Daphnia pulex: one gene and its partner. The protein of the gene in region 2 purifies or fractionates together with the protein of the main gene of each other region. This does not show direct contact. Links are inferred from orthologs where the notes say so. Each region holds a gene or a part of one and is shown on either strand. Other genes may lie near its edges.

Region 1 (3,651 bases), on a different chromosome or scaffold from region 2:
AAGTGAATTCTACCAATCTACGTGTAATCAAATGTACGATTGTTAAACAGGTGTCGGCTCTTAGGGATGCGTTTTCCCGCGTTGAGGATCGTAGTGGATGGATTAAAGACGCTGTTTCTTCCGCTGCTACTTTTGAAGACGGACAGTATGTTATGGCAGTCATCGACGCCGTTAAAAGATCCAGCAAGATGCGAGAGTGGTCGGAAGTGTCTATCATCCACGAAGAACCAGATCCTAATCCGGTGTTAAGTGCCGCTGTTCGCAGGTCCACTATTTCCGCTGTATGAACACAACCAATGCAATAATTTTCTGTTAACGTATTTCAAGAACAAATTTTTTTTCTCTTCTTCTCACATCATTCAAGATTTCTTCAAATAACCTTGCTAAGAAAAATGTTTCATACGACTCTTTAGTTTATGTACCATTTTGACAGTTTTTTCTTTCGTCGTGTCGTCTCGTTCCCTCCTTATGCTTACACACGACTTTAAAATGGAACAACATACAATTATTTATTGTATTTCTATGAATAGATGACAAGTGTCTACGGAAACATCGAATGATTAGTTTTTTTTTCGAAACGTGACCAGTCAATGAAATAGCATTCAGAAAAATGTGCTAATAACTTATTAACTGACCTCGTACCGAAACCTTTTTCGCCCCATACGATACAAAAACTTGATAGGACTAAATTCGTTACTGCGGTAGCGACAAAAGCGTCTGCTGGCCATTTGGCAGGTAGACAACATTTCGAGATTTGGACAATTGGTAAGCAATATCTTCGCCAGCTTCAATTCGTCGAAGTTCGACGAGACCTTCACCAGCATCACCAAAGGCTTTGGCCAAAAGAGAAGCGGCTTGGGAGTCACCTTCTGCTGAAATGACTGCAGCTTTCTTTAATTGTTCGGCCTAAAAAAAAAATACGTGATTATATGATTCAGAAATTTAACATAATTAGTAAAACTTACTTTTTCTACAAGGAAACGAGCTCGTTCAGCTTCTTGTTGTGCAACTTGTTTTAACTCAACAGCTTGGGTAAATTCTTTGCCAAAAGTCAAGTGCGTCTGTTGTCAAAGGAATAACGAATTATACTAAGTGATCGTAGCATATAACTGAAATAACATTACAATGGAGATATCGTCCAAGATTAAGCCAAACTGTCCAGCTCTTTCCGTTAGAGCTTCGCTAACTTTCTGGGATACGACTTCACGCTGAGTGATCAATTCTCCAGCATCAAACTGGGCCTAGAAAACATTTAAAAATCATTTATAATGCTTAGGATGAAAAAAAAAAAAATAATATATAATCTTACAACAACAGCTTTCAGGATTTCATTTGTAATAGAGGGGAGCACACGCTCATCATAATCAATGCCCAAGGTGCTGTAGATATTAGGGAGAGAAGTTGGGACAGGTCTGAACAGGACACGCAAAGTAATGTTTACATTTTGAAGATCTAAAATAAAAACCCTTAATGATGTTAGCTGTACAATTTTTTAAAATTTCATTTACCTTTGCTGCCAGTGATAACTGGTACATTCCTTGGTCGGGACCTAATGTCATAGATGATTGGCTTCTGCACCCAAGGAACAAAAAAATGTGTGCCTTCTCCTACTACTTCATTTTTCACACCAGAGAAACGATCAAAAATAACAGCTCTGTGGCCTCCCTCAACTAGAATGTAGAATAATATGAATGTGAAAAATATAAAAATAATAAAAAAGAAAACTACAGAAGATCTACTAATAAAAACAGTAAAACAACCCACCATTGTACAATGCGGAATTAATAACTCCAGCAGTTAAGGCAACTCCAACACCCAGTTGACTAATTCGATTAAAAAATTGAGCAGCCATGATCTTTATGAATTAATGTGAGTAACAATCTGAAAAGTGTATAATAAAAAAAAAAACACACATATTTAACATGTATGATGTAACAATGTGTGGCAGCCAGCTTAACTTTATTGAGCATTAGGATATAGGCACAATTTTTTTAAATTTCTACTTTTCTTGAAACGTTAGGCATAATAGAACTTTGACAAAAATTTTTAGAATTTTAACTAAATTGCGAAATTGCGCAATGTTTTCTACTTACATACCAAATTTGATTGAAAAAATAAAGCAAAAATGCCGAGAACGAAGAACGTTACACACTTCAGCCACACGTGCAGCAGAAGATCGCAGAAGAATGCGACCCTAGTGGTGAGCAATTAAACTTACATACGACATCTAGAGAACAAAGATAATATTAGAAACAGGATTTTTCGACACTTCAACAACAGCTGATGTTGTTATCTTGTAAAAAAAAAACAAAAAAATACACATGAAGCCGTGGCAATCCAAACTGTGGCACTCTATACTGAGACGCTCGTCCACCAAGTACGCGTTTTCACGAATTTTCAAACGTGCTGACGCGGCATATTGTAAACTCTTGTCGGTTTACATATGCAGTGTTATACGTGGCATTTCTTTGGTGGAAAATTGTTAAGAGACGTACTTTTGAATGGAGATTTCTTCTTGAAGCAAATTGAAGAGTTTATGTTGTTTAGGGATAACTAGGGAAGTTGAGAAGAATAGACAAACATCACAGATCACACTAGAGCTGTGTTAACTGGTACAGCAGATCCAGTACAAATAGTACTGACTATTTAATTGCAGGTAAAATATTTTCATTCTGTTTTATGTTTCATTTTTTAAATACAAAATCTATTCTTTACATGTACCTCCTTATCGAAATTCAGGCATCACATATTCCAGTCCAGAATGAAGGAATTTGTTGTCACAATTTTGGGATCATTGGTCCTTGTTTGTTTTGTTGCCCAATGGATTGCTTCTAGAACAAAATCACAACTGGTAGCTTCGCTCAACCCAGAGTTCCAAAAGTTCCAAAGAATTTTTTTTGCACCATATCTCTTGGCACTTTTCTCTGATTGGCTTCAAGGTCCATATGTCTACAGGCTTTACAGTCAGTATGGATATGCTCCTAAAGAGATTGCATTGCTGTAAGTATTTTTATTCACTTCCTGTGATATGTATTATCTATTCAAATTTTATTTCCATATTGTTTTGTGTTTCAATGTATATGAAATATTCTTTTTGGTTTTGTGTATTTGTGTTATTTTAGATATATTGTTGGATTTGCTGCAAGTTCTACGGTTGGAACTTTTACTGGGCCCTTGGCTGACATGTTCGGTCGTAGACGTCTCTGTTTAGCTTTTTGCTTTATTTATACATTTTGTTGCCTCACAAAGATGAGTCCGAATTTCTGGTGGTTGTTCGCTGGTCGCTTGTTCGGTAATTACTTTTTACCGCCAATATGTTGGCATACTTAAAACGGCAACTTCTAATATGTTTTTAACAGGTGGTGTTGCCACGTCCATTCTATTTTCCACTTTCGAGGCATGGTATGTGTGTGAACACACGGAAAGAAATGTGTTTCCCGCCGACTGGATCTCTTCAACATTTTCAATATCTACATTTTGGAACGGAATTTTAGCAATCCTTTCTGGTGTTGTTGCCGATATTGGAGCTGATTGGCTTAATTTTGGTCCTGTAGCTCCGTTCATGACTGCCATCCCCTTTCTAATAGCTAGCGCTGTATTAATTTCTCTCAGCTGGCCAGAAAATCACGGTAACTTATCTTTTATTGTAAT
Region 2 (3,939 bases):
GGTGTCATGCAACCAAGTAATGGAGCTCAAATGCACATGACTCTCGCGTGTACGAAAAAGCTAAAAGGCACCATTACCGAGATTACGCCTCGACCCTATTAAAGAAAGCGCCAAAAAGGAGGAAAACCCAAAGATTTTCTGAATAAGAAAAATAATTAAAAGAAAACAGAAAATCTACTTTTATTTCCTTGAAGAAATAATAAAAAGGCTGAATATACCTATCCGCCCACGAATTACTTTGACTGGGGTTCTCTAATATCCAATGATCGTGTTTCTAAGTCATCACAACACGAAACCAGGAGGAAAATGAATACATTTTCGAACCATTTCTGCTTAAAACTTGAACATGAATAGCATTTTACGTCAACTAAAGTCAAGAGTTTCATGGTAGAGGTTGAATTAAATTTTCCCATACACATTTCAACCACTGTATGTGTATTATATAATCACCTAATTCAACTCGGCTTTACATATACAAACTCCATTTCCAGTTATTCAAGTCACCGGTGTGGAGATAAAGAGGGCGTGGAACACATTCAGCGATCAATTTCTCCAAAAACCACATCCAGTGTACCTGCGAATCAAATTTAATTAGACGGTCATATATTCCAGGACGAAATCTGCATATAATTAAAAACGAACCAATGATGGCGACAATATCGGCGAGCATGTGGTTGCGGCCGACTTTCTCCAACGCGGCCAGATGGGCGAAACCTGGCGCCTTGATTTTGCAGCGATATGGGCGTGAAGAACCGTCAGAAACGAGATACACACCAAATTCACCTGGAAATCAACAACGAATTAGATTGAAATTTGGTTTAAGCCAATAGATAATAACAAGATACCTTTGGGATTCTCTACAGCCGTGTAAGTGGCTCCTGGAGGAACGTTATAGCCCTGTGTGAACAACTTGAAATGGTGAATGAGAGCTTCCATCGACGTTTTCATTTCGGATCGCTTGGGCGCCATGATTTTGGCATCGTCAACACGGACCTCACCCACCGGCATTTTATTCAGGCATTGCTCGATGATGCGGAGAGATTCCCGCATCTCTTCAACACGGCACAGGTATCTAAGAAAATTATGAAATTTATTATCTTGTGCTGCGAAGACGAGGTGATGTGACATTACCTGTCATAGCAGTCGCCTTTTAGTCCCACGGGAACGTCAAATTCAACCAAATCATAGGCGTCGTAAGGTTGAGTTTTCCTCAGGTCCCACTTGATTCCAGATCCGCGCAACATGACACCACTGAAACCGTAATTAAGTGCGTCTTCGGCGGAAACGATACCAATGTCGACGGTTCGCTGTTTCCAAATGCGGTTGGCAGTCAAAACGTCTTCCATTTCATCGATACGTTCTCCGAATTTGCTGGAAAACTCGTAGATGTCATCCATGAGACCCAACGGGAGGTCCTGTCAAGATCAAAACGTTGGCGATAAGAGAAATGTTTTTAGTGGACATTTGAAAAGAAAATTCTACCAGAGCCACTCCTCCTGGGCGAACATAGGCAGCGTGCATGCGAGCTCCTGATACACGTTCGTAGAATTCCATCATCTTCTCACGCTCTTCGAACAGCCAAAAGAAGGGCGTCAAAGCACCGATATCCAAGGCGTGAGTACCGATTTGCATCAAGTGATTTAGAATGCGCGTAAGTTCGGCAAAGAGCACTAAATAATTGAGAAATATTTTTTAAAAATGTCATTAGTCATATGATATTTAGAATTGCGATAAAAATAACTCCTCACCTCGAATATATTTGGCTCTTAGTGGGACGTCAATGTTTAACAATTTTTCAACAGCCAGTGAATAGCATTGCTCATTTCCCATCATCGAAACATAGTCCAAACGGTCAAAGTAGGGAAGAGCTTGAGTGTAAGTTTTGTACTCAATCAGCTTTTCTGTACCTCTGTGCAGCAAGCCGATATGAGGATCAGCTCTGACAACAGTCTATCAAATGAAAAAGTAATGGTAATGTGAATACAAAGGCAGTCACACTAAAAAGAGAAAAAATCGGTTTTTACTTCTCCATCAAGTTCCAAGACTAAACGTAATACACCATGGGCAGCTGGATGTTGTGGACCAAAATTAAGGTTGATATTGGTGACCGATTTCTCTACTGGAGCTTCATAGTGGTTTAAAGGAGGCATTTTCCATACATTTGCTTTGGTTTGCGGAATTAGACATGGCATATCATATTGTTTGTAATATTCCATATCAGGATTCCATGTTGCCCCATGTCGCCGTGGGCTGCAAAAGAAAACAAAATCATTTACCGACACGAAAGAAAGAATAACCCACTACCTACAAGAAATTATGTAAGGGTTTAGGTTCATGTAAATAAAGTTGCTGAGCAGACCATTTAAAATAAATTAAACACAAATCTTACTTGGCAAAGAATCCTAAGGAAAAATGGGGTAACAGAGACTTTGGTGCAGAATTAATTAGGGAAATAGTTCCCTTTTTCAACCCAAGTCCAATAACGGCAGACATTTTTCTTCAGAGAAATACACAAAAAATTCCCGAATGTAACATTTAGTTGCTAGATGGCTCTGAAGTAGCACATTTACCGAACAGCGATACCTAGGAGTACAATTGGTAACTAGCTACTTTTGTCTTTCCGCGCATCAGACAGCATGTGCTGTGAACAATCATTTCTTTTTTTGTCTGGCTGATCTGGCTCTCAGCCATCCGGTTTACAGTCCAGTCAAAGTCGAGTCGAGACTTTGTTAGTCAAGTCTTCCGGTGGTATCCACCCCCTAATTATTTCATGTAAAAAAACTAAAAACAAAACTAGGAGTTACAGAAGATACGCACAGGAAATTGCAATGATTTCAACAACTGTTTTAATATTTGTCGTCATCTCTTTCAGAAAATAAGGTAAACAGTTTTTTAAATTTCCCTATGCAGTTGTAATCATAACATTCCTTGTATTTTCAGGCATCCGCGATTTGTTTACAAATGATATCATACTCATTAACAATTTTTCTAATGCAATTAAAATAATGGAAGAAGAATGCCTAGATGCAACATAAAACGGACAGTGTTTTCTCTACTCCTGATTGGATTCGCTTTCTTTCTGATACTCTCTTGTCGAACAAGTAATTTTCTCACTCAAGATCCATGGAAGCTAAAAAAAGAAAAGGATGTCAAACTTGTCGCACCAATCAACGAAATCTCAAATAATCAATCATTCCACGTCAAGCCAGTCATTAAATTACCCCACAAAAATCTTTTAACTTCAAACAATCCCAGCCTTAATCATCAATTGCACTTCCAGAATTCAACTTTCATTTGTGGGAAAGGTGGTATTTTGACAGTCAAATCTGGAGGCCGCCTAGGAAATCTTATGGGAGAATATGCCACACTGTGGGCATTAGCTAAGAGAGATGGCCTTTTCCCCATTTTGCAGCATCGAACTTATACCACATTGACCAAATACTTCCTTGAAACTTCAATTCCCACAATTGTCAACCTAAATTGTTCACTCGTGTGGAACTCTATGAATTTACATGTCTACAACAAATTGAACAAGGGTGAGCGCTCGAAAATTGCTGAAGAAGGCATCTACATTGATGGTTATCCTACATCGGTGTCTCTTTTTCATCGTCATCGGAATGAAATCATGAAGGAATTTCGATTTAAGAAGCAGTTCGTTGAACGAGCACAAGCAGAATTATATCGACTCAGAGAAAATCGCCAAAACGTTGTTTTTGTAAGTTATTTAAATTTATCGAAAAGATTTTTTTTTTCAAATCTATTAATTGTTTTATAATATTCAAGGTAGGAGTGCACGTCCGCCGAACAGGTGAGTTTTTATAATTTTTCATGATGAAACATCGGAAATAAATGTGCCATTTTTCTTTTCAATTACGTAGATTACAGCCAGTTCCTAAAAGGGCGTTTCCAAGCGCAACTAGTCGGAGAAGTCTACTTCAC

Evidence for each region.
Region 1: the proteins of NADH-ubiquinone oxidoreductase 49 kDa subunit-like (region 2) and protein l(2)37Cc-like purify together in Homo sapiens (affinity purification with mass spectrometry; 3 studies listed by BioGRID and IntAct, with this or other methods). This does not show direct contact. The link is inferred for Daphnia pulex from reciprocal best matches to the Homo sapiens genes NDUFS2 and PHB1.

What each region holds. Positions count from the first base shown.
Region 1 is NC_060020.1:1,678,407-1,682,057, reverse strand, and holds protein l(2)37Cc-like, read right to left. Parts: upstream 2,236-3,651; 5' UTR 2,098-2,235; exon of another isoform or gene 2,094-2,097; intron 1,882-2,093; 5' UTR 1,853-1,881; coding exon 1,765-1,852; intron 1,671-1,764; coding exon 1,509-1,670; intron 1,453-1,508; coding exon 1,310-1,452; intron 1,242-1,309; coding exon 1,125-1,241; intron 1,062-1,124; coding exon 966-1,061; intron 907-965; coding exon 694-906; 3' UTR 501-693; downstream 1-500. Other genes in the region: glucose-fructose oxidoreductase domain-containing protein 2-like, read left to right, coding at 51-287; molybdate-anion transporter-like, read left to right, coding at 2,762-3,000, 3,123-3,292, 3,360-3,629.
Region 2 is NC_060021.1:394,679-398,617, reverse strand, and holds NADH-ubiquinone oxidoreductase 49 kDa subunit-like, read right to left. Parts: upstream 2,593-3,939; 5' UTR 2,494-2,592; coding exon 2,390-2,493; intron 2,251-2,389; coding exon 2,025-2,250; intron 1,951-2,024; coding exon 1,749-1,950; intron 1,671-1,748; coding exon 1,483-1,670; intron 1,416-1,482; coding exon 1,132-1,415; intron 1,073-1,131; coding exon 846-1,072; intron 784-845; coding exon 643-783; intron 575-642; coding exon 537-574; 3' UTR 501-536; downstream 1-500. Other genes in the region: galactoside alpha-(1,2)-fucosyltransferase 2-like, read left to right, coding at 3,017-3,715, 3,784-3,808, 3,879-3,939. UniProt on the Homo sapiens protein: Core subunit of the mitochondrial membrane respiratory chain NADH dehydrogenase (Complex I) which catalyzes electron transfer from NADH through the respiratory chain, using ubiquinone as an electron acceptor. Essential for the catalytic activity of complex I.